Canis lupus familiaris: one gene and its partners. The main gene of each other region encodes a partner of the protein of the gene in region 2 in a complex. Links are inferred from orthologs where the notes say so. Each region holds a gene or a part of one and is shown on either strand. Other genes may lie near its edges. The genes, in order: SNRNP40, SF3B5, G-patch domain and KOW motifs-containing protein-like, DHX16, SF3A2, SNRPD1 and HTATSF1.

What was found.
Region 1: SF3B5 (region 2) and SNRNP40 share a complex: the UniProt entries of both Homo sapiens proteins name them as parts of the minor spliceosome. The link is inferred for Canis lupus familiaris from reciprocal best matches to the Homo sapiens genes SF3B5 and SNRNP40.
Region 3: SF3B5 (region 2) and G-patch domain and KOW motifs-containing protein-like share a complex: the UniProt entries of both Homo sapiens proteins name them as parts of the minor spliceosome. The link is inferred for Canis lupus familiaris from reciprocal best matches to the Homo sapiens genes SF3B5 and GPKOW.
Region 4: SF3B5 (region 2) and DHX16 share a complex: the UniProt entries of both Homo sapiens proteins name them as parts of the minor spliceosome. The link is inferred for Canis lupus familiaris from reciprocal best matches to the Homo sapiens genes SF3B5 and DHX16.
Region 5: SF3B5 (region 2) and SF3A2 share a complex: the UniProt entries of both Homo sapiens proteins name them as parts of the 17S U2 SnRNP complex. The link is inferred for Canis lupus familiaris from reciprocal best matches to the Homo sapiens genes SF3B5 and SF3A2.
Region 6: SF3B5 (region 2) and SNRPD1 share a complex: the UniProt entries of both Homo sapiens proteins name them as parts of the minor spliceosome. The link is inferred for Canis lupus familiaris from reciprocal best matches to the Homo sapiens genes SF3B5 and SNRPD1.
Region 7: SF3B5 (region 2) and HTATSF1 share a complex: the UniProt entries of both Homo sapiens proteins name them as parts of the 17S U2 SnRNP complex. The link is inferred for Canis lupus familiaris from reciprocal best matches to the Homo sapiens genes SF3B5 and HTATSF1.

What each region holds. Positions count from the first base shown.
Region 1 is NC_049223.1:69,116,161-69,120,380, forward strand, and holds the start of SNRNP40 (U5 small nuclear ribonucleoprotein 40 kDa protein), read left to right. Parts: upstream 1-1,420; 5' UTR 1,421-1,475; coding exon 1,476-1,619; intron 1,620-1,795; exon of another isoform or gene 1,796-1,934; intron 1,935-3,838; coding exon 3,839-3,968; intron 3,969-4,220. UniProt on the Homo sapiens protein: Required for pre-mRNA splicing as component of the activated spliceosome. Component of the U5 small nuclear ribonucleoprotein (snRNP) complex and the U4/U6-U5 tri-snRNP complex, building blocks of the spliceosome.
Region 2 is NC_049222.1:35,794,967-35,797,415, reverse strand, and holds SF3B5 (splicing factor 3B subunit 5), read left to right. Parts: upstream 1-1,204; 5' UTR 1,205-1,338; coding exon 1,339-1,599; 3' UTR 1,600-1,949; downstream 1,950-2,449. UniProt on the Homo sapiens protein: Component of the 17S U2 SnRNP complex of the spliceosome, a large ribonucleoprotein complex that removes introns from transcribed pre-mRNAs.
Region 3 is NC_049260.1:42,458,503-42,462,002, forward strand, and holds part of G-patch domain and KOW motifs-containing protein-like, read right to left. Parts: intron 3,063-3,500; coding exon 2,908-3,062; intron 2,809-2,907; coding exon 2,684-2,808; intron 494-2,683; coding exon 384-493; intron 1-383. UniProt on the Homo sapiens protein: RNA-binding protein involved in pre-mRNA splicing. As a component of the minor spliceosome, involved in the splicing of U12-type introns in pre-mRNAs.
Region 4 is NC_049233.1:603,122-606,621, reverse strand, and holds part of DHX16 (pre-mRNA-splicing factor ATP-dependent RNA helicase DHX16), read left to right. Parts: intron 1-1,216; coding exon 1,217-1,427; intron 1,428-1,619; coding exon 1,620-1,718; intron 1,719-1,832; coding exon 1,833-1,985; intron 1,986-3,500. UniProt on the Homo sapiens protein: Required for pre-mRNA splicing as a component of the spliceosome. Contributes to pre-mRNA splicing after spliceosome formation and prior to the first transesterification reaction.
Region 5 is NC_049241.1:57,260,975-57,264,474, reverse strand, and holds part of SF3A2 (splicing factor 3A subunit 2), read left to right. Parts: intron 1-140; coding exon 141-212; intron 213-1,251; coding exon 1,252-1,298; intron 1,299-1,725; coding exon 1,726-1,835; intron 1,836-2,806; coding exon 2,807-2,856; intron 2,857-2,937; coding exon 2,938-3,078; intron 3,079-3,380; coding exon 3,381-3,449; intron 3,450-3,500. UniProt on the Homo sapiens protein: Component of the 17S U2 SnRNP complex of the spliceosome, a large ribonucleoprotein complex that removes introns from transcribed pre-mRNAs.
Region 6 is NC_049228.1:66,463,568-66,465,826, reverse strand, and holds part of SNRPD1 (small nuclear ribonucleoprotein Sm D1), read left to right. Parts: intron 1-1,040; coding exon 1,041-1,232; intron 1,233-2,259. UniProt on the Homo sapiens protein: Plays a role in pre-mRNA splicing as a core component of the spliceosomal U1, U2, U4 and U5 small nuclear ribonucleoproteins (snRNPs), the building blocks of the spliceosome.
Region 7 is NC_049260.1:107,807,800-107,811,299, reverse strand, and holds part of HTATSF1 (HIV Tat-specific factor 1), read right to left. Parts: intron 2,838-3,500; coding exon 2,674-2,837; intron 1,579-2,673; coding exon 1,479-1,578; intron 1-1,478. UniProt on the Homo sapiens protein: Component of the 17S U2 SnRNP complex of the spliceosome, a large ribonucleoprotein complex that removes introns from transcribed pre-mRNAs.

The DNA of each region.
Region 1 (4,220 bases), on a different chromosome or scaffold from region 2:
AAATGGTCGATCTGCATCTATCTCTCCTCCAATCTGTTTATGCTACTGAGTGATCAAGCCACCACCTGTCCCATCACACCACTCTCTCCCCCCACCAAAACAAAAACAAAACAAACAAACAAACAAAAAGCTCGGTCGTTTCCCATCAGTCCTGAAGTAAAAATCCTGCACCTCTACCCACCTCCAGCTGCATCCTGTACCAGACCCTCCTTCATTCCCTCTGAAGTAGCCATAGTGGCCTCTTTCTGCCGTTCAGTCATTTTCCTCCCATTTGCCGCAGGGCCCCTGCACATGTTGTTCTATATGGAACGCTCTGCCTTTCTCCCTTGACCCAAATAATTACAATTCTTCCTTCAGGTATCAGTTCGGGCATCTTTTCCTCACAGAGGCTTTTCTGCTTATTGCAGACACTCATAACATCAGGCACCTCTCCTAGGCAGCACGTATTTTAAAGCTCTTAGTGAGATCACTGTTTAACATGCTTGCCCTCAATATTCAAATATTTGAATTGTTTGTTTGTTTTTAATTTATTTATTCATGAGAGACGGGGGGGGGGGTGCAGAGACACAAGCAGAGGAAGAAGCAGGCTCCATGGAGGGGGCCCGACGTGGGACCATCTTTGGTTCACAATGTATCCTCTCAGGGCTCTTTCCAATAAACACCAGTTGGACAATTAAGGAGACCTAGTTCCCAGATATGATTCCGAATTTCTCCACAGGACTGTGCTCTGGAGAAGCAGCAGTCGGATACTCCTCTCATCCCTGTCTCTCCCAGAGGCACTGAGCAGGCCCTCGTAAAAGGCTGCATGACCAGTGGCAGAAACAAGCCGGCCTCCTCAGTCAGAGAGAGGAGCCTGGTGGAGCTGGGAGACAGGCCCTTCCTCCCTGGGGGCGTTCGGCACAGGCACAGGGCTGGACACGGCAGGCGCTGGACGAACGAGTCGGCGGACGAGGGCCCCGGGCGGCCGCAGAGACCCCAAAGCCCTGCTCCAGCCTAGAAGGGGAACCCAGGCTGCTACGCGCCGACGCTGGGACCCCGGGGCCCGCCTCAGGCCCCTGCAAACCTTCAGCTGAGAAGAGCCAGGCTCACGTCACACAACCGAGGCGCCGTCTCTAGATGCCGCAGCCACCCACCCTCGACCTTCCTTCCACTTACTCTGGGTCAGCTCCCGGTCTCCCGGCCGCAGCATTGCGCGAAACGCCAAAACCAGACAACGCTTCCACCCACAAGACCCAGCGCGCCTAGGTGGGACTCCAGCTCCACCCACCAATCCCAGCACCGCACTCCCGTGACGCCAGAAAGAACTGACCAATAAAAGAAGAGTATTCAGGGAGGCGGTGCAGAGGGGATTGCTGCAGACCGATTGGTTACTCCAAGCCGGAAGTTCTGGGGGAAGAACTAAGTCGGAACCAATCGCGCGCTGCCTGAGGGTGTCGGCGCGGTCAGTGGCGGCGCTGAGGAGAGCGGTTGCCGCCATGATAGAACAGCAAAAGCGCAAAGGCCCGGAGTTGCCACTGGTCCCAGTCAAGCGGCAGCGGCATGAGCTGCTGTTGGGAGCGGCGGGGTCGGGCCCCGGAGCTGGGCAGCAGCAGACGGCGCCGGGAGCTTTGCTACAAGCGGTAAGTGGAGTCGCGGGCGGCCCTCGGGCCTCAGCTCATCTTCCCCTCAGGGAGCCCGCCCCCGGTGATCCCGCAGTGCGGGGTAGGAACGGGAATAGCTGCCTGCAGTTCACACAGGAAACACTGTAAAAGCGGTCGACACCCCCCCTGCCCCCCCGGGACGCTCCGCTCGTTACCTGGTTGGACGCCCGCTTTCAGCGTCTCGACCACCCTGGGAGGTGGCGTTACATTTAGCGTTAAGGACCTTGAAGTCAAAACCCGCACCGGGGCTTTTTCGTATTAAATCTTCCACAGGGACCCAGCGTGGAGTAAACATTCAGAAAACTTTGTAGAACGGCTGAAAAAAATGAATGAATGAATGAATGAATGAATGAGGAGAGAAAGGAAACGAATGAGCCCGGCTTGCTTTGGTCAAGATGCCCGCCCCCCCCCCCCCCCCCCCCATGTCTCAGCACTAGTACTGTTACTAACAACAACGGAACGAGAGCTGACCTTCATTTAATACCTGTCCTAAGGGCTTTGTGTATGAAAACCCCATTAATCTTGGTAACAGCTTAAGAGTTAGGAACTCTCAGTGCCCTGTTTTGTAAGCTCTTAACCCGGTAAGTGATAGGAAACGGTTTTAAAGCCGAATCCATGCTCTTAACTGCATTTCTTGTAAGATGGAGGTAATAACGATCACCCCTCTGCTGGGCTGGTAGGCTCCGATCAAGAAGTAAACGTCTCCACTCTCAACCTCTCCACCAGCCGGTGAGCAAATCCTGCTGGCACACCGTCCTCAAAATAGATGCCAAATTGCTAATCCTTGTGCCACCTCCATCACTCGCCCCTGGTCTAAGCCGTTATTTTTCTCATCTGGCATTATTGTAGTGAGGTCCTAACTGGTATTTCCTGTTTCTATTCTTTTATGGTCCATCTATTCTCAGTCCAGTGGCTAGAGAATCCTGCTAAAGGTCAGCTCGTGTTACCCTCTGCTGAAAACTTTTGATGGCTTTCCATTTCACCCAGGGTTAAATCCTTACAATCCTTAAAATCTTTTGCCCATTTTCCCTTTACCTCTCAGATCTACCAATTTTCCATTACTCCCCCTGCTCCAGTCACACTGGCTTCCATGCTCTTGCCTCAAAGCCTTTGCATTTGCTGCACTCAACTGGAATGCTCTTCAAAATATCCACGTGGTTTACACACTCAGATCCTCCAAATCTTTGTTCAGATATCACTTTTTCAGTAAGGGCCTTCCTGACTACCCTGTTTTAAATTGCAATACCCCATATGTATTAATCCACATCGCTTTTTTTCTTCCGTAGCACATACCAACCTGCTATATGTTTTGTTTTCTCTCTTCGTCTCTTCTCTTCCTCCTTTCCACGGGAACACAAACTCCATTGTTTATTTTGTTCAGTACTGTTTTCCCAACGCCTAAAACAGTGCCTGGCACGTTAATTTTTTTTTTTTTTTAAATAAATGAGTAAACTGAAAGCTATTAAGGATGTTTGGGGATTATCAATAGTGTACCAGGTCTTCTCTCTGACCGGAATGTCAGCCCAGGTTCCAGTGAATTGTCCAAGCCTAGGTTTAGTGTCAAGACCATAGTCAAAACTACTTTCCTGGGTAATATGTACCTTGCAGGGTTGTTGGGAAGCTCAGTTCAGGCATTAATTAAATGTGCTAGAGACTGGGAAAAGTGTTGAATGCAGGGTCCCTGCAGTCACAAAGCTGCTTTTCTACCGGGGAAGAGGACAAAATGTGTAAACCAATACAAAGGAAGGTGATTTCAGGTAGTCTTAAGTGCTGTGAGGAAATACAGTAGGATTAATGGAATACAGAGGGGAGGTGTGATGCTGCTTTGAGTTTGAGTGATCAATGAAAGACTTTCTGAAGAGGAAACATTTGGAAAGAGCTAAACACAGGACGATCAAGGGAAGAGGATTCCGATCAGGAGCAAGAAGTGTAAAGATCCTGAGACAGAAATGAGCTTAGCATATTTGAGCAATTTAAAGTTGGCTATGGGACAGAAGGAGCCTGAGGGAGTAGTCAGTATAACTGGTAGACACTGGACACTTGAGTAGGAGGGTATCAAATTGGAGGCCTAAGTTAATGTGAGAAGAGTTACCATTCTCTAAATCAGGAGAAATCTACTCAATGATTGTTTACCGTGTCTTTTGTAGTCTCCTTTGCCTGTATGTAGTAACTACCCTGTACTTCTGTCTTTTGTTTAGGGACCTCCAAGGTGTTCCTCCCTTCAAGCGCCAATCATGCTTCTCTCAGGACATGAAGGGGAAGTGTACTGCTGCAAGTTTCATCCCAATGGATCCACCTTAGCATCTGCAGGCTTTGATCGACTGATATGTAAGAGATAGTTTTTGAAGTTGGGATAATCACTCTCTGCTAAATAGTGATTATTTTTTAAAACCTTTAGTGCCACAGAGTGTATCAGTCTGGATTATTCGCATTACAAACTGCATAGCTAAAACAGTGTAAGGAGAATGTTGAATGATCTTGAATATAGACCTCAAGATCCATGTGGTAAATACAGAGGAGATTATGTTACTAGTTGAAAAGTGAGTTGCTCTTCTTTGAGAATATCTTCCTCATGGAGGC
Region 2 (2,449 bases):
TGCTGTGTGTACATTAGATCTCTAGACTTACTCATCTGTACCTAACTGCAGAACAGAACTATTTTAAAGTCATCTTTCTCCCACTAAAGAGTCCCTTCTATTTGCTGCCACAGTTGTTCATCCATTCATCAAACGTTTTTTGAGAATGCGAGCTCTACCAGGCCAAGTATCGCAAGTGTGGTTATCACAAAAAAGATGCCACAAAAGAAGCTATGATAAATGATGGCATCAAAAAAGTATACGCTACTTTCCCCCAAGTAGTTTGAATTCACACGAGGGAGTTCTCAGAAAAAAAAAAAAAAAAAAAGAACCCAAAGCGTAGGCTATAAGGCGATCATAATGAAGCGATGTACAGGAGACTTTACGTCTGTCTGGTGTGGCCAAAGCCGATTTCAAGGAGATGCTTTTGAGCTGACTTAAAGAGAGAAGTTGTTTGCCAAGGGAACAAAAGCATTCCAAGCGGAGGGAACATCTAGTACAAAGAACTGGAGAGGCGAGCGGCACGGAATGCTGAGACACACAGGCTGGGGTGCGTAGGGTGGGGCGAGCAGCTGGAGGCAGGACATCAAATGAAGCAGCTGGAGCGCCGGGGGGCGGGGGGGGGCGGGGGGGGCGGGGCTCGGTGTGGGAGCCCGAACGTGTCGGCGCCCGAACGTGTCGGCGCCCGTAGGGTCCTCGGGCACCGGGCGGGAAACGGCGGCCCCGCCAGCGCTGAAGGAAGACGCACAGCTGGGAGCCGCAGTCGCGTCGACCGATTCTCAGGGTGACCCACCCCGGGCCGTGACGGGGCCCACCACGCCGCCACATTCGCTCCGAAACCAAAGTTACACCGAGGTTACTCTCACGGCGGCCTGTGGCAGCTCCCCATTTCTTCGCAGCTCCCAGCCGCCCAGGGATGCTCCCCGCCTCCCCGACACGACGCTCCACCAGGCGCCGGCGGGCTCTTAAACCGCGACGACCGCCCAGGGAGGCGGGCGCGCACGAACCCTCGGCGACCGCAGCTCCCGGCATGCAACGCTCCGCGCTAGAGCAAGGGCCACTGAATGAACCATGATGCAACGCTCTACGGAGGGGGCGGAGCTCTCCATGGCGGGGGCGGGGGGTGGGCGGCCGACTGGTAGCGTCGCCTAGGCAACTCCAATTCCCTGACGGAATACACTTCCGCTTCCTCCTCTGAGCGCTAGGACCGCGAGTCCTCGCGGCTCCGTGGCTGTGACGTCATTCTCCTGCGACTGAGCCGGCCGGGAGGTGCCGTGTCGTGGGCTCTCTCCCGCGTGGAAGTCTAGAGCAGCTTCTCCTCTGCGGCGTCTGACCTGGGCGCGAAGGGAAAGCGGCGAGATGACTGACCGCTACACTATCCACAGCCAGCTGGAGCACCTGCAGTCCAAGTACATCGGCACGGGCCACGCCGACACCACCAAGTGGGAGTGGCTGGTAAACCAGCACCGCGACTCCTACTGCTCCTACATGGGCCACTTCGACCTTCTCAACTACTTCGCCATTGCGGAGAATGAGAGCAAAGCGCGAGTCCGCTTCAACTTGATGGAGAAGATGCTGCAGCCTTGCGGACCGCCAGCCGACAAGCCGGAGGAGAACTGACACCCCCGTCTCGTCACTGCCACGCGGGAGCGTGTCCCGAGTTCCTCCCGTTTGCCGTTTCTCCCGCGTGTTCCTGCCCCGAAGTGGACCGGTTCTCCATTGCTCCTGTTTCTCGCGCCTTCCTCGTGCACAAGTGCTTAGCTGAGGCCGTCCCGCCTGACCTGCTTTCCTGTGGACCCTTAGGAACAGCGTTGGGAGACTGTCAGGACCCGTGAGAACTGAGACGGTGGAGAGGTCCTAAACCAGCAAGAGAGGGGGGAAGGAACTGGGATCAGACGGGATTTGGAGGCTCTTTTTTGGCTAGTTGATTGTCGTTTCTTTTTCCATAAAGTCTAGAAGTTTTTCAATCACTTGGTGTGGACCACTTGCGTTTGAGTGGAAGGGGGTCCAAGGAGGGCTTTGGGGACTTTAGTTTCTTGGGAGACCGAAGAGGCGGGAGATGGATGGGTGGAGGAGTTGAGCACAGGGCCAGCGTTCATTGGCATACAGTTAAATCCGCCTTGCACGATCTTTATAATATTCCCCAACCCAGACTTCTCCCAAGAGCTTTTTTCAGGCCCATAATGCCTTCAGGACTGAGGATTAAGGTTTATGATCACTGTATCCCTCTTTCATGTTCTTGCATTCAGAAAAATCTTTACTAGCATTGCCCACTCCTCTATGTAAGTTGCATCGTCTCTTTCTCTTGGGATTCTGGACACATCCTGAAAAACGACAGGCTGTCAGACGAGTTCTTTCATTCATTCGGCATTCAACAAATACTTGTTGAGTCAGTTCTATGTGGTGGGCATTTTGCCTCGCTTTTGGAGCTTATGTTATACTTGGGGGGGCACACAAATTGTAGGCATAA
Region 3 (3,500 bases), on a different chromosome or scaffold from region 2:
GAGGAAGCTAATGCTCAGAAAGGTAACCCCGTACAGAAGGGATCCCGTTACAGAGTTTCAAAAAGCAAACAGGAGGGATGCCTGTGTGGCTCAGCGGTTGAGCATCTGCCTTCAGCTCAGGGCGTGGTCCTGGGATCCAGGATTGAGTCCCGCATCGGGCTCCCTGCATGGAGCCTACTTCTGCTCCCTCTGCCTATGTCTCTGCTTCGTTCTCTGTGTCTCTCATGATTAAATAAATGAATCTTTAAAAACAAACAAACAAACAAAGAGCAAACAGGAGACTGAAACAGTTGCAGAAAGCTTCTGGTTCTGGATGAGCAGTAACCCACGGGGTCTTGTTCACTGCCCTGTCTGCTGCCCCTTGCCCCCACCCCAGAACTCACAGATTGAAGGTGCGGCCAATGCCCTCACCAGGCTTCCAGCCCATGCCTCGTAACATGGCCAGCCCATAGGCCTCTACGGGGACTGCCTCGTAATCAGCTTCCTCTGGCACCTACAAATTCAGGCAAAGGAAGGACAGTCAGGCTTGGCCCATGGTGGGCCCTCTGAAGCCTGCTTACCCAATGAGTGACCCTTAGTGCTTTTCCAGTAAGCTCAAGGTTAGTTTTGATTTCCTCTTGCTGTCCCTCACTTTACTCATCCATGTTGTCCTTCAACAAATAATTATAAAGCACCTATTCTGTGCCAGGTACTGACCTAGGTGACGAGGATAACCAAAACAGACAAAAATCCCTGATCCTGCCCTGTGGGGATGACGTTCTAGTTGTAGACATACAATTTAAAAAATACATATAGGGGCAGCCCCAGTGGCGCAGCGGTTTAGCGCGGCCTGCAGCCTGGGGTGTGATCCTGGAGACCCTGGATCGAGTCCCACGTCAGGCTCTCTGTATGATGCCTGCTTCTCCCTCTGCCTGTGTCTCTGCCTCTCTCTCTGTCTCTATGAATAAATAAATAAAAAATCTAAAAAAAAAAATAATAAAAAATACATATAAAAATACATAAAACGTGGCATGTCGGGTAGTGATAAGTTATATGAAGAAAAATGAGGCAGATTAAGGGGATGCAGAGGGATGCAGAAGAGAGTATCACGGAGTTGATATCTGAGCAGAGACCAGAAAGAAATGACAGTGGGGGCCATAACGATATGAGAAGCATGAAGGATAGGTGGGTAGTCCAAGCAGAGAGAACAGTAAGAGCAAAGGCCCTGTGGCAGAACAAGTCTGGCAAGTGGTAAGAGCATCATGAAGGTCAACCTGACTGAGAAAGAGGTGGAGGAAGAGGGGCAGTGAAAGATTAATCAGGAGATCTGGGCTGGAGCCACAGGAGGGTGGCTTCCACAAGGGGTCCCAGTGAGGAAGTTACTGCAATAATCCAGATGAGAGATGCTGGTAGCTCAGACGAGTGGTAGGAGTGGTGATGGTGAGAAGTGATCAAATTCTGGATGTATACTGCAAAGGGAGATGATAGGATTTTGCTGAAAGACTGCATATGGGGTATGAAATAAAGGGGGAAGTCAAGAGAGACTCTAAGGTTTTTAGGCCAAGTGAGAAGAAGGATGGGGTGGAGCTGTGATCAGCTGAGATGTAAAAGGCCGGAGAAGGAGAGAATATGAGAGAACTGAGGCCAAAGCAGGAACAGGATGGAAAGTGAAGTGAAGGTCTTTTTTTTATGATCAAAGAAGCCAGAAGACAGGTGAAGGCCAACAAGAACAGCTCAGTCGAAAGAGAGGATGGTCTGGGGCTGTAGGAGAACTAGGCCCCAAAGAAGCATTGCTAAAACATTGTGAATAAAGAGGTGAAGAGTGGAGTCCATGGGTATAAAAGACAGACTTGGTTGCTTCTGTAGACACTCCCCTCACTTCTGTTGTCTATCACATTCCATCCTCACTCCCTCAATTCTTTTCTTCCCTCCTCTCTCAATTCCTTTTTTTTTTTTTCTCTCTTTTTTCTCAATTCCTTATACTCACTCTAGACACACGGCGGGTTGCTTCACTGATGGACCCACACCACATGGACTCCCTGCCACCATGCCACTGCTTGGGGTTGTTGCTGCCATTAGTACTCACCCTGCTCTTCCCTCACTCACTAAACCCTACCTGTCCTTCCAGACCTCACTCCTACCACTCTGGTCTGACTGGCCATCATTTCTAGCCTGCACTACTGTTCTCTTTGCTTACTATTCTGTTCTGCTCACACTAGCCAGAGATCTTGTCAAATCTTAAGTTTTTACCCCTCTCTGCTCAGAACCCTCTCATGGCTCTCATTTCATTCAGGATAAAAGCCAAAGTCCTCACCATGGTCCACAAGGCCCTGCTTAGTTTAGCCCCTGCCACTTCTGACTTCATATTCTTCTCCTCCCCTTCATCCATTCTACTCCAGCTACACTGGTCTCCTTGATGTTCCTCAAACACTCCAGGCTGAGTCTACCCTTAGGATCTTTGCATTTCCTGTTCCCTTTGCCCCTCATCTTGTTCAGATAATCCCAGAATGCAAGTGTTTTCCACACCTCAGTATCTTGATTAATTTTTTAATGCTTCCCAAAAAAGACAGAAGGAGGAAGGGATAGGCAGCAGGCCTGTAGCACGCACACAGACTGTACCCCCCGCCCCACTGTATGCAAAGAGGCAAGTCTGGCAGACAGGGCAAAGGGAGGCTGGGGCAGGAGGAATTAGGGGCCAGCTCACTGTCTCAGCCCGGGGTTCGCTGTCTGCCCCTTCCCCGTTAGGAATGCATCCTTTCTGGATCATGGGGATAGCAAGCGTGGGGTCGACACCCGAATTCTCTCTCTCCTCCAGGGACTTCTTGGAGTCTAAGGAAGAATGGGAGGGAGCAATGAGGTCCCACCATATCCTTCCATTTTCCTCCCCCACTTCCTTCACAGGGGGATGGCGAAGAGGGGATCACTCACCCTCAATGAGCTCCTTCACAGCCTGGGACAGCACTCCATCCATCAAGGCCTCAGTATTTGTGGATGGCCCAGGAGCTTGGGCTGGTGGCTGCCTGCGATGGCCATTCTGGATCAAAGGGATGATGAGATCCTTGGGGTTTTCTGAGGGCTTCACACTAATGTGGACACAGAAGCATGAAGTTGGGAGAGTAGCATGTCAGTGGGTTCTGAGCCACACTACTCCCTTCAGAGAAAACACAAGAGCCAAACTCACCCCCCCCATCTGACCACACCCTCTGTTCTCCTGTGAGTCTCTAATGGTGCTTTCTTTGGATTCTCTCCCTCACCCCCAACTCTTAAATGTCAGTGCCTTTAAGGAATCAGCCTTCAGTCTTGGACCCTCTGCTCATCCCAACACCCACTTCCATGGCCTTCACAATGACTCACAAATCACCATCCTCAGCCCAGATTCTCCCCAGTTCCAGGCTCCCCATCAACCTCCTGGATGGTTGATTCTCTTCTGGAAGTCTCACCCTCTGACTGTCTTTTCCAAATTAACCTGATGATGGCCTCCCCAAACCTGAATCTGCCAATCCACCCCGTTCCCCACACTA
Region 4 (3,500 bases), on a different chromosome or scaffold from region 2:
CTTCACTGGCATAGTCAGGGATACGCACAAAGAATTGAGGTCAGGGGTGAGCTCCTGCAGGCATGGCTGTCACCTGAGAATCCAAAGACTTTAGCAAAGATATCAAAGATGTGTCCCACATATAACTAAGGAGGAGACCAAGAAGCCCGCAGAGCCCTCTAAGATTGGGGTAGAAAGGCCTACTGGGGGACACCTGGGTCCCTCAGTGGTTGAACGACTGCCTCTGGCTCAGGGCATGATCCTGAGGTCCCAGGATTGAGTTCCATATTGGGCTCCCCAGAGGGAGCCTGTTTCTCCCTCTGCTTGTGTCTCTGCCTCTCTCTCTGTTTCTCATGAATAAATAAATAAAACCTAAAGAAAGAAAGAGAGAGAGAGGAGACGGAGAGAGAGAGAGAGAGAAAGAAAAGAAAGACAGACAGACAGGCTTACCTGGTTCCTCTCTCCAGAAGGATGCAGCAGGACCAAGAGACATGCACAACAGCAGTCTCATGGAAGCCTAGGAGCTCCTGGGCTGTGCAAATCCTGGTGCTTCAGGTCTGTATGTTCATTCTCAGCCAGCCTGGGGAGCCCAGCCTTACTCCCAAAGGCCCTGTTCTCACTTTTTTCCCCCCCTTTAAAACAGAAACTCTTATTTCTGTTGAGTCTAACAGATCCATGACTCTGATCCAGAGAGCATATGTGACTTGTCCTGGCCTTGGCTTTCAGCCTCCAGATCTTGGCCGTTGTTGTCTGTCCAGGCTGAGATAAACTGCAGACTGCGGGCCCTTGGCTTTCTTTCTTTCTTTCTTTCCTTTCTTTCCTTTCTTTCCTTTCTTTCTTTCCTTTCTTCTTCCTTCCTTCCTTCCTTCCTTCCTTCCTTCCTTCCTTCCTTCCTTCCTTCCTTCCTTCCTTCCTTCTTTTCTTTTCTTTCTTTCTTTCTTTCTTTCTTTCTTTCTTTCTTTCTTTCTTTCTTTCTTTCTTTCTTTCTTTCCTTTCTCTTTTCTTTTCTTTCTTTTCTTTTCTTTTTTTTTTTTCTTTTCTTTTCTTTTCTTTCTTTTGGCTTTCTTTAACATTGTATTAGTCTTCCTTAACTGGGGTGATTGGCCTCTCTTTGGAACCCCCCCTCCCATATTCACCATTGGGCTCTTTGCTTTCCCTTTGTGCCCTTGTCCAGGGGATCCTGTTGTCCTCTCCTGGGCAGCTCTCCTGGCTCACAGCTCTCTTGTTCTTTCCCCAGTGTGGTAATGGTAGATGAAGCTCATGAACGAACCCTACACACAGACATTCTCTTCGGGTTAATCAAGGATGTTGCTCGTTTCCGGCCTGAGCTGAAAGTCTTGGTGGCTTCAGCCACACTGGACACTGCCCGTTTCTCCACCTTCTTTGATGATGCTCCTGTCTTCCGAATCCCTGGACGCAGGTTTCCAGTTGACATCTTCTATACCAAGGTGCTCCCCTCAGGGAGGATGGGCTGAAGTGCGAGGCTGAAAAGCTTGGGCCTTTGGAGAAGGTAGTCCCAAGGAGGGAAGGGGAAATGGAGAGTCTGAAGAAGAACTGGGATAAACTGATTATTGAGCTGGGAGAAGAGGAAGTTTCTTGAACAGATGGCCTTCCTGTGACCCTCTCCTCCTCACCCCCAGGCTCCAGAGGCTGACTACCTAGAAGCTTGTGTGGTGTCTGTGCTGCAGATCCATGTGACCCAGCCCCCTGGGGATATCCTGGTGTTCCTGACAGGACAGGTGTGAGACATGGGGCAAGGGACAATGAGGTGTGTATCCCAGGGGAAAACAGAGCTGGCAGGTGGGCCTTCTGTCACTCTGGGACCTGTACTGCTCTCCCCATCCCAAATCCAGGAGGAGATTGAGGCTGCCTGTGAGATGCTCCAAGATCGCTGCCGCCGCCTGGGCTCCAAAATCCGGGAGCTCTTGGTGTTACCCATTTATGCCAACCTGCCTTCTGACATGCAGGCCCGTATCTTCCAGCCCACACCCCCGGGGGCACGAAAGGTCAGTTGGAGACGCCCACATTCTTCACCCCTATAGTTCACACAAATAGTGAAAAAGAGGGTGTGTGCCTGCCCTATGCAGGCTATGTCCTGGGCACTGCTGCAGCTGCAAGGCTTAGTTGTAGTCAATCCCTAGCCTCCAGAGCTGGAGAGAGAGGGTGAATTCAGCAAATATTTGATCCAGTTAGTAAGTATGTGGAGATGCAGAGGAGAAGGGAAGTCCTCAGGGTGCCAAAAGGTGGGATTTGATTTGGATCTTTAGGGAAAAAAAGGTAGGTAATACCAGAGTAAGGCTTAAGGTATGTTTAAGTCAGAATGTAATCCAAAAGGCTGAGGGGAAGGTTCATGTGGTGAAAACAATTCTGGACTGAGATTAGGGAAGGCCTTTGATAGCAGTTGGAAGCATTTTGACTTTAGATGATTGGGTTTTGAGCAAAGACGTAACTTCCATCCAACAAATGTATAACAAGCTCCTGCCATGTGCCAGATACTCTTCTTGGGCATGAAGATACAGTGATGAACAGAACAAAGTCCCTAGCCTCACAGCCGACAGTCTAACTTAAATTAGGAGACAGTGGACGCGTAGATGCCTGATGCTGATTTGTGACCAATGCTGTGGAGAGATATAGCCCAACATGGGGGAAAAGGAGACTGACTCCAGGGAGGCTGGGAGTGAGCAATGTCAGGAAGGTAGTTTCCTTGGGGTATGGGAAGGTGAAAGGGAAGCTGAGGCCTGAACCCAGTGAGGGAGGGAGCCAGGCTGATAGCTGGGAAGGGAGTGTGTCCAGCAAAGGAAGGCACTCATGCAAAGGACCCGAGTGAGGAGTGTGCTCAGACCAGCCAGGGAGCAACTGTGCAGGAGTGGAACGACGGAGCCTGTAGTCCTTGGAGATGAGATCAGAAAGGTAGAGCACTTGGAGACTTAAGGGGCTTGGATATAATTCTCCAGTAGGATGGGAAGCCATCAACGGATGGTGTTAGTGATGTGACAGGTTTACATTTTTAAAGGACAATCTGGGTGCCAGAAGAATGCCAGGTAAGCAGGACTTGGAGTAGAGGCAGGGAGACACATGAGGAGGCTATTGAAGGAAGTCCTAGCTGAGGAAGATTGTGAAAGTGGTAGTGGGAAAGATGGAGGCAGGGACCTGGACTCCCTCTCCCATCTCTAAAAAAAAAAATTTAACTCCTCCCATTTCCTTTCCGCCTTATGTCTCTTTTTTTCTTTCTTTCTTTCTTTTTTTTTAAGATTTTTATTTTTTTAAATTTATTTATTCATGAGAGACACAGGCAGAGGGAGAAGCAGGCTCCATGCAGGAAGCCCAATGTGGGCCTCGATCATGGGTCTCCAGGGTCATGCCCTGGGCTGAAGGCAGGTGCTAAACCGCTGAGCCACCCAGGGATTCCCTTATGTCTCTTTTCATTCCTTCTCTCCTTGAACCCTTCCTGGCCTTGTCCCTGTCTTCTGACATTAGGCAATAATCCTCTTTGCTCCTGTCCCTTATCTGTGCCTGCTTCT
Region 5 (3,500 bases), on a different chromosome or scaffold from region 2:
CCAAAGTGGGACAGCTGCCCCTCTCTGCCAGCAAGTGGTGGTCTGTGCCTCTTGGACAAAGACAAGGCTTTCGCCCCTCCTGGAGCAGGTGGGGACCACGGGGCGCGATGGGTGCTAACAGAGTGTGCTTCCCTCCCCAGGACCCTTACTTCATGAAGAACCACCTGGGTTCATATGAGTGCAAGCTGTGCCTGACCCTGCACAACAACGAGGTGCGTCCCTAGTTCCGGGCTGGGCTCTCCTGCCGCCAGGTCCAGGTGCCGCCTGTCCCGCTCAGGCGGGACTCTGTGCCCGTCCGCATCCTGGTCGTGCTCTCCCTGCTAATTCTGGGACGTTGTTCAGGGCAACAACGAGGGCAACAGGCCCGGATCTGCTCGCTCACCTGAGTGCCCCCCATCTCAGCCTGCGCCCCCAGAGCCCGCTGCCGCTGTGGTGCGCCAGGGGCCCCTCCGGCGTGCTTCCCCTGAGCGTCGTCACTGCCGTTCCTGCACGAACTAGACTTGCAGCTGTGGGGCAGGCCCGTCCCAGACATTCTGGATTCAGTTTTTGAGATCTCATTAGTGTGGCTCTAGCTCATTTCTTTGAACGACCGTACATTGTCCCACGATGGTATAACTAGCGCTCAGGCTGCCCTGACCCACTCAGTGACAAATAGATTCCGTTTGGTCTTCTGCACACTGTGGAATGTTCTGATGGTCTTTCAGCGCGTGTACAAGTGGTGCTGACTCAGCCAGTCTTGCGTGTCAGGGTCTGTCCCCCTCAGCACTGCTGACGTCAGAGCCGGGTCATTCTCTGGGGGGTGCTGAGCAGCATCCCTCATCTTGACGACCACAGACATCCCCAAACGTGGCCCAGCGTCCCCCTGGTGGTCCCAAAACACATGGGGTTCACCTTGCTCTCTAGAGGTCCCCTAGGCTGCGGTCAGCATGGACGCGCAGGGTCACAGGGTGTGTGCACCGTTGGGTTTGCCAGCGGTTGCCAAGTAGTCTGCACCATCCAGCCAGGTCCAGTAGGCGCCCTCCCATGACAGGCGGCGAGACCTGCCGTGTCCCACACCCCGTGATTGCGGACCTTCGCAGACCTACTCTGTCCCACTCTGCATGTGTCTCATTGCACTTCATGTGGACCTGCTAGAGTTTGTTGATTCCGCGGTGACCCGGTGTCCGCTTCGCGCTGGGCCCTGTGAACACAGGCCGGCTCCTCTCTGCCCACCCGTTCACTTGGGCTGTGTGTGTGCTTTTCCCGCTCCAGGGCAGTTACCTTGCGCATACCCAAGGGAAGAAGCATCAGACCAACTTGTGAGTACCCCCGCCTCCTTCCAGGGCCGTGTCTGGTCTCCGAGGTACACAAAGCGCACTTGGGTCTGTCCTTGCGAGCCACGCTAGAAGCAGCCCAGCCCAGCCGTGCCTCGGGGCTGAGTGGTTAAGCTAACCGGTCTTGCTGGGGTGTGAGGCTTCCGTGACACAGTGGGAAAGAGATGAGGGCTCACGGAGACTCCCTAGTAAAGGACGGTGGGAAACGTGATGAGAAGGGACAGGTGCCCCGACCTTGTCCCATCCCCACTTCAGGCAAACCCTGGGACCCCCAGCCAGCACCCCCACGCCACTCGCCTCCCAGACAAAGCCCAAGGTCAATGTGGAGGCTGGTTAGCTCCCAGCACCTGGGCCTGTGGCCTTGGCAGCCTGTGTGGAGGGGCCACAGCGCTTGTGTCCGTCCCGCCTGCAGGGCCCGGCGAGCTGCCAAGGAGGCCAAGGAGGCCCCCGCCCAGCCGGCACCAGAAAAGGTCAAGGTGGAGGTGAAGAAGTTTGTGAAGATTGGCCGCCCGGGCTACAAAGGTAACTCTGGGAGTGTGGTCTGGCCTGCTGCTGGTGGTGCACGCGAACGAGCCTTTGGCACAGACCCCCGACCCTGTCCGTGAGCCACCGGGACTGCTGTCCGTTGGCCGTCGCAGCAGGGGCCCTCCCTCACCTGCACCGCTACGGGCACCCCGCTAGTGCCCCGGCCCCGCCTCTCCTGTGAACATTCCCAAACAACCCATCAGGGTGCCGTGGCTCCCCTGCGCCGTATTCCAGTGTCTCGGGAGCTGGGGATTCTTTACAGTCCTAGTGAGGGTGTGTGGCCATGGGGGTCAGCGATTCCCTTTCTTTTGACCTCGGGGTGGGGTGGGGCAGGGGGTCCGTGTAAGAAACCGCATGTAGGGGACTGTGTTCCTGGGAGCTAAAAGGAAAGGAAAAACTACCAGGCAGGTATCCTAACCAAGGGTAGGGACGCCGCGAGGGTGACGGGCGTTCCAGGCAGGACGGAGCCGTGCAGCTGTGCTTCATAAGCTAGGGCTCGGATGCCAGGATCCTTGTGGGGAGGCCACTAGAGGCCTTTTGGCCATAATAGGGCACCTGGTGTCTGTCCTGATTAAAGTAGGGGGACGCTTGAGGGCTGAAGGAGGGTGTGGCGTGCCTGGGAGCTGGACGGAGAGCAGCCTGGAAGTGTGGGCACGGCCACTGGCCTCTGATGAAGAGGGCCGCCTCCCAGAAGCCGGGTACGGGCATCGCTAGCCTTACTGCACCCACATCGTGCTGTCCCAGCCCTGCAGGTGAGGGCCGCAGAGCCCACTCTCCTGCCCACACCCCTCCCTGTGTGATCTCACGCGGGGACCCTCCTGGCCCTGGGCGTGGACTGCAGGTAGCTCTGGTGTATCAGCCAGCTGGTGTCCTCTAGTGTCCTGCCCTCCCGTTCGTGGGCAGCAGCCACGGTCCTTTATCTTCGGGGGGACACGCTAGTCGGGACTTGAGACCCTTGTGTGTTGCAGTGACCAAGCAGAGGGACACGGAGATGGGCCAGCAGAGCCTCCTTTTCCAGGTAAGGTTAAACCTGGAGTCCCATCCTGAGTGAGGGAGGGTCCCTTGAAAGGCGGCGTTGCCACCTGCTGTGTCCCCACAGATCGACTACCCTGAGATCGCCGAGGGCATCATGCCCCGCCACCGCTTCATGTCCGCCTACGAGCAGAGGATCGAGCCTCCGGACCGGCGCTGGCAGTACCTGCTGATGGCTGCTGAGCCCTACGAGACCATCGCCTTCAAGGTAGTGCAGGCGGGGTCCACCGATCCTCGTGGGCAGGCAACGAGGCTGGAGTGTCCCTCCAGCCACTCACGGGTGCCCCACCTGGGTCCTTGGCTCTGGCAGGCTGGGGAGGGACATCCTGAGGTCCCAGGTGCCCCTAGCCGTAAGAAGCCCTCGTTCCCAGGCTGGTCAGGGACCCCATGACCTCGTCCTGGGCCCAGACAGACCACGACCCTCCCCCGGGGTGGCCGGCTGGCGACGTGGGCCAGGTCAGGTACCCAGAGCCGAATCCTGAGGCCCCTCTGCCTCCACTCCCTGCACAGGTGCCAAGCAGGGAGATCGATAAGGCCGAAGGCAAGTTCTGGACTCACTGGAATCGGGAAACCAAGCAGGTAAGTCATTCTGGGTCCGGGCAGTTCTGGGGCTTTCGGTGGCTGCCCTGC
Region 6 (2,259 bases), on a different chromosome or scaffold from region 2:
TATATTTGTGTATGTGACACCAATTGCTTTAAAGGAAATCAGAATAATATGAGGTTTCAGTAACATGGTTAGTGACCCTGTGGCACTGACCATAATTGCTATTTGAAGTAGATGTTGGGAAAGTTAAGAGAATTCATGTTTTCTGGTCTAACTTTGTAGGAATAGAAATAAACTAGGTCTTTTGTTACCCATTTGTTCAGATATATTGGCAAAGGCTCCAATAATTGGGTATTTCTAAGATAATGCCATAATATTCATTCTAGAAAATTGTGCTTTTCTTTTACAAAATCTCACACTAAAAGCAATGGGAAAAATAGTTTGAGGCAGAGCATTCAAAACTTGTGCAACTTGGGAATTAAAGTACTAAAAACAGTAAGATTCCTTCAAAAAGCAGTTAAAAAGATGTGTTAAATTCCTAGTAACAAGGAAAATACTGCAATATATATAGGATCTTTTATTTAAAACAAGACTTACAGGGGCAGCTCCGGTGGCGCAGAGGTTTAGCGCCGCCTGCAGCCCTGGGTGTGATCCTGGAGACCTGGGATCGAGTCCCATGTCGCGCTTCCTGCATAGAGCCTGCTTCTTCCTCTGCCTCTCTCTCTTTGAATAAATAAATAAATCTTTAAAAATAAAAAATAAAACAAGACTTAACAGCTTGGTGACATGGGGAATAAGGAAGTTATGGAGATAGTGAGAACGCCCTGAGATGAGAATACCTGGGCACAGTGGGAATGAGTCAGGTATCACTCAGGGTTCCTCCGTGGCTTGCTGCATTCACATCTGTAAGCATACCTAATCATGCAAAACATTAATGTACTAGAGATAATCTCCGAAGAAAGGATTTTTGGTTTATATTGACATTATTCACCCATTAACCAGTTGTACTAAATTGTGTCCTAGAGTCTTACAGAATAGGCAGTGTCCTAGAGTGTAGCAGAATGGGCAGTATTCTTTTGTATTGTGTTATTTACTTCGGCTTGATAGATTTACTGGTTGCCTTCTTTATCATGCTAATAAGCTCTCTCTTTTTTCCCCTGTAGGTGTAGATGTCAGCATGAATACACATCTTAAAGCTGTGAAAATGACTTTGAAGAATAGAGAACCAGTACAGCTGGAAACACTGAGTATTCGAGGAAATAACATTCGATATTTCATTCTACCAGACAGCTTACCTCTGGATACACTACTTGTGGATGTTGAACCAAAGGTGAAATCTAAGAAAAGGGAAGCTGGTAAGTTTGAAGGATTATAAACATTATTTTTTAAAGATTTTATTTATTCATGAGAGACACACAGATAGAGGCAGAGACATACTCAAGATTTTTCAGGTTTTTATATTCCAGTTAGTAAACATACAATGTTATATTAGTTTCAGGTGTACAACATAGTGATTCAACAGTTTGATATGTGGCGAATGTACTCTTTAACCCCCATCACCTATTTCACCCATCTCCCCATCCCCCTCCTCTCTAGTAACCATCAGTTTGTTCTCTTACATAGTTAAGAGTTTGTTTCTTGATTGACTGATCTTTCTCTTTCCCAAATTTGCTCTCTTTGATCTTTATGTTGTAGGCTTGACTTGAATATCTTGTACTTTGACCATTTATTTAAATAATAGAATCCTAGGAAGAGAAGTTCTGGGAGGGGAGGCTGGACCCATAAGCTTGAGTCTCACTGTAGGGTGGTTCAGAAGTGAGTTAGCCTCTTCACTGAGGAAACCCAAAATTTCAGGATCTAGAGTCATTTCTGAAGCTTTGCACTCCCCACCCCTCCCACAAAAAGATTCTGCTCATCTATTGTAGGAGATAATGCCTAGCAGCCAGCATTATAGGAGTAGAGCAGGAGAAAGGGCTGGGTGTTTTGTAGACAGTCACTTAATACATTGATTTTGAGACTTTTATGCCCTCTTTCCACTAAGAAATATACTTTGTTGGGATCCCTGGGTGGCGCAGCGGTTTGGCGCCTGCCTTTGGCCCAGGGCGCGATCCTGGAGACCCGGGATCGAATCCCATGTCGGGCTCCCGGTGCATGGAGCCTGCTTCTCCCTCTGCCTGTGTCTCTGCTTCTCTCTCTCTCTCTCTCTGTGACTATCATGAATAAATAAAATCTTAAAAAAAAAAAAAAAAGAAAAAAAAAAAAGAAATATACTTTGCATCATGGCCCATTCATGCATATAACCAAAACAAAAATCTCAGGAAGAATTAGTCTTAATACTTGCAAATGTCTATATGTTTTCTATGCTCTTTTAGTTAAGAAAAA
Region 7 (3,500 bases), on a different chromosome or scaffold from region 2:
GAGAAACTAAGTCTGCACAATGTGATGGCCAGATTCAAATTAGGTGGCTCAATGAGCAAGGCAAGAAGCAAAACACAAAAACAGATGTAATTACACAACAGACTTCTACTCACAGAGGTTCCAGACAATTTGAATTAAGTTTGCATTAATATTCACATTCAAGTGTTAAGAATATGGAATGCATGCATCAAACCAAGGACATGAAGTCATAGACATTAATAGGTCATGTAATTTTAAAAAGCCATTTAATATTTAAATGAGATGAACTCTAAGAAATTGGGAGCCATACCTAATAGATAGGGATACCCTGGGGTCCATCTAAATTCCTTTCAAATCTCTATTTGGCAGGGGAACGGTTTCAAAAAGTGTTTCAAGATGAGTCAGGATTCTACTCAGTAGAAACATCAAATGTTACAAATTGACCACATGTATCTCCCCAGTGATCTCAAAAGATGCACAGACCATATGGGTGCACAGCAAACTCTACCACATGACTCTGGGCTGGGATGGAGCTCAACAGACCATAGGGGGTTCTCTCCAAGGGGGCTACAGTGAAACTGCCATGCTCACTGTTTCAATGCACAGGAGTGAGAAAGGTCTTTGGTTGCACCTAGATCATTTGTAAATCTGGAGTTTCACAGTATGAACCTTCTTTGTTGTTGTGTGACTTGTTATTTTTATGTTTACTTATGTTGACTTGTGGTCTTTATCTATCTTGTGTGTAACTGGTTGTCATTAATTTCAGATTCCAGGGAGAGGAGAAAGACCTGATGCCACACAAGTGCCGTCTGTGGTTTGGATAAAAGACTAGCCCCAAGGACAAGAGGCAGACCAGCGCAAGGTGCCCCGGCGGCATGCTATACCTTGCACACCTCTTGCACCTGTCCAGCTCTTCTTCACTCTGTTCACTTTTGTTCGCTGTTCTTAGAATTTTACCTGGACACTAAGTATTTATAAAGTCCCCCTAATAGCCACAAAAGCATTGTATGAACGTCAGGTCTCGAAAAACCACCTTTAGTATTTAAACACCAGGAGCTGTCTTTCATTAACCTGAGGGTTTTTTTGTTTTGTTTTAAGGATCAAATTTGTGGTACCAAAGTGAAGTTCTCATTTGCCAAGTATAAAATGACTCCCCGCCCAAACCGGCCTGTGCTTGTTGAAATGCACTCAAAATCCATAAGCAGCGCCCAGAAATCTTTCAGTGATTATATTTTTAATGATTTCCCAGAGTAAGTAGCTGCTGTTTACAGCTGCAGTGTGGGTGTTAAGCAGTGTTCCCTGGGGGACAACTAAAAGAACCCTAGGCTGAATGTGGGAAAATTTAAACATTTTGATACACTCTTAGCTCTATTTTCCTACCTTGACAACTACATGGAGGGGTGGTATGTGACATGTGAAAACATGGGGTGAAGCAAGCTTGGGACTCCCTTGAAAGAAAACACATCAGTGTTTCCATCAGTGGGAATATCACCTCCTACCTCAAAATCCATCGGATGAAACATATTTTTGATGATGACAACTCGCTCATGGCGCATTCGAGATGGGCCAGCTCTTCTCTCAGGTCTCCAGTCCAACTGCCTAATGCAATAGAGCAGGAACAAGATACTGAATTTTGTTTCATACTTGCAGGACAGAAAAAAAGGAGTTGTTACAATCAACCTTTATTTGAGTATATAGTGATGCTAATTATTCGATTCTAAAATAACAATATGTATTTCTGGAGAACTTTCGGAAGTAAAACTAATGGGCAGGTGAAAGATGGACCCAGTGTCTGAAATTCCCAGAATGTATCTTTTTTCAGGGCTGCTGTCTGGTTACAAATGTTCCAGTAAGATTCCTGTAAAGAGCCAATTATTTAATATTTATGACTATCTGGTATCTACGCCTACACTTTGAGGGCAAAAAATACATTCTACTTGTATTGGTTTTGAGGCATTTTATGATTATAAGGACCAAACTACATTGAAATATGTAAAACTACTGTTACATAACCAAAAATTTTATTGCTAGGTGTTTATAAAATTGGTAGGTATCTAGCCTATTCCTGTAAAAACTATAGGATATCACAACTCAACTCCTTTATCAGCACTGTTATCATTAAGTTGAGTGCAGTGTTAGAAGTGTTATTAGAACTCACTGTGATAGAAGAAAATACTTATCATTTCAGCCAACTTCTTAAAACCAGCATACTTCAAAAAACCCATTGACATGAATGGATTAGTAGACATTTGATGATGTTTACTGTACACACCGTGTACAACCCTATCAAATACAGTCATAAAAGCTGCTGTTTCTAACTCCTACTGATGAGCCTACACAGACGCCTTAGCTCCTGGCGTAGCTGATGTCAATTCACATTAGAAATGAACTAATGGCTCTGGTAAACAAGCTTCAACTATTTTATTTAACTTCATGTTCAACTTCTTCCAGAGATGGCCCTCTCATCTCATTGAAGCCCGGTTTATATTACAAATTAACACTCCAGGAAATAGACATGCTGCCACTGCCAGATCATCCTGCAGTAGAGATGACTGAAGGTTTCTGATGATCTAATGAAATTCTTTGAAAATAACTTCTGCATACATTTGATGGAACACAACTAAGGAGCTACACCCAAAACATAGTCTAGGATATGTAAATGAAATCATTCAAAAAGCGAAAATCAACACAAACTTCTGTTGCAGAGACAGCTTTTTCTTGTAGTCTTTGCACTTCTTCTTCTTCTTTGAGGCATCATACTCTCCCTTCAGTTGAAACTTGGCCACTTCGACATGCAATTTGTAGCCTCTAATTTCATCTTCGTCCAGAAGCTTTAACGCGAGATCCACAGATTCCCTCTTTATAAAAAGGTAAAATGAGATAGAATTTCCATGCTGAAATGAAACTTGGGGAGGTTTTTTAGGCAAACGATGACTATATGGACAATAAAGATTTCATCACAACTACCTCCTTTGAGATAAAGAACTCTAGGCTGCCTTATCAGGAAACCTGCACTCTAGAAACAGCTGTCCTCAACCAGTTTTGTGAACTTGGGCAAGTTATTCAATTTCTTCATCTGTAAAATGGGAAGAAAAATGCCTTCTTTGCAGGGTTCTTGACAAAATCAAATGAAAGAACGCACATAAAGGATAGGGACTGGCATATAGAAGGTACTTAAACTGCATTATTATTGGAATAAGAGTATTACCTCTTGGGAGTCTCAATTTCTCAATGAGGCAAATGGACTTGTGTGACTTTTAAGGTACAGTTTTATTTATTTATTTATTTTTAAAAATGTATTTATTTATTCATGAGAGACACACACAGAGGCAGAGACATAGGCAGAGGGAGAAGCAGGCTTCATGTAGGGAGCCCAATGCGGGACTTGATCCTGGGACTCTGGGACCCCGCCCTGAGCTGAAGGCAGACACTCAACTACTGAGCCACCCAGGCATCCCTACGGTACAGTTTTAAAATTCTCAAGTACTACTACTTAAAAGACTACATGACTCAAGGAACTG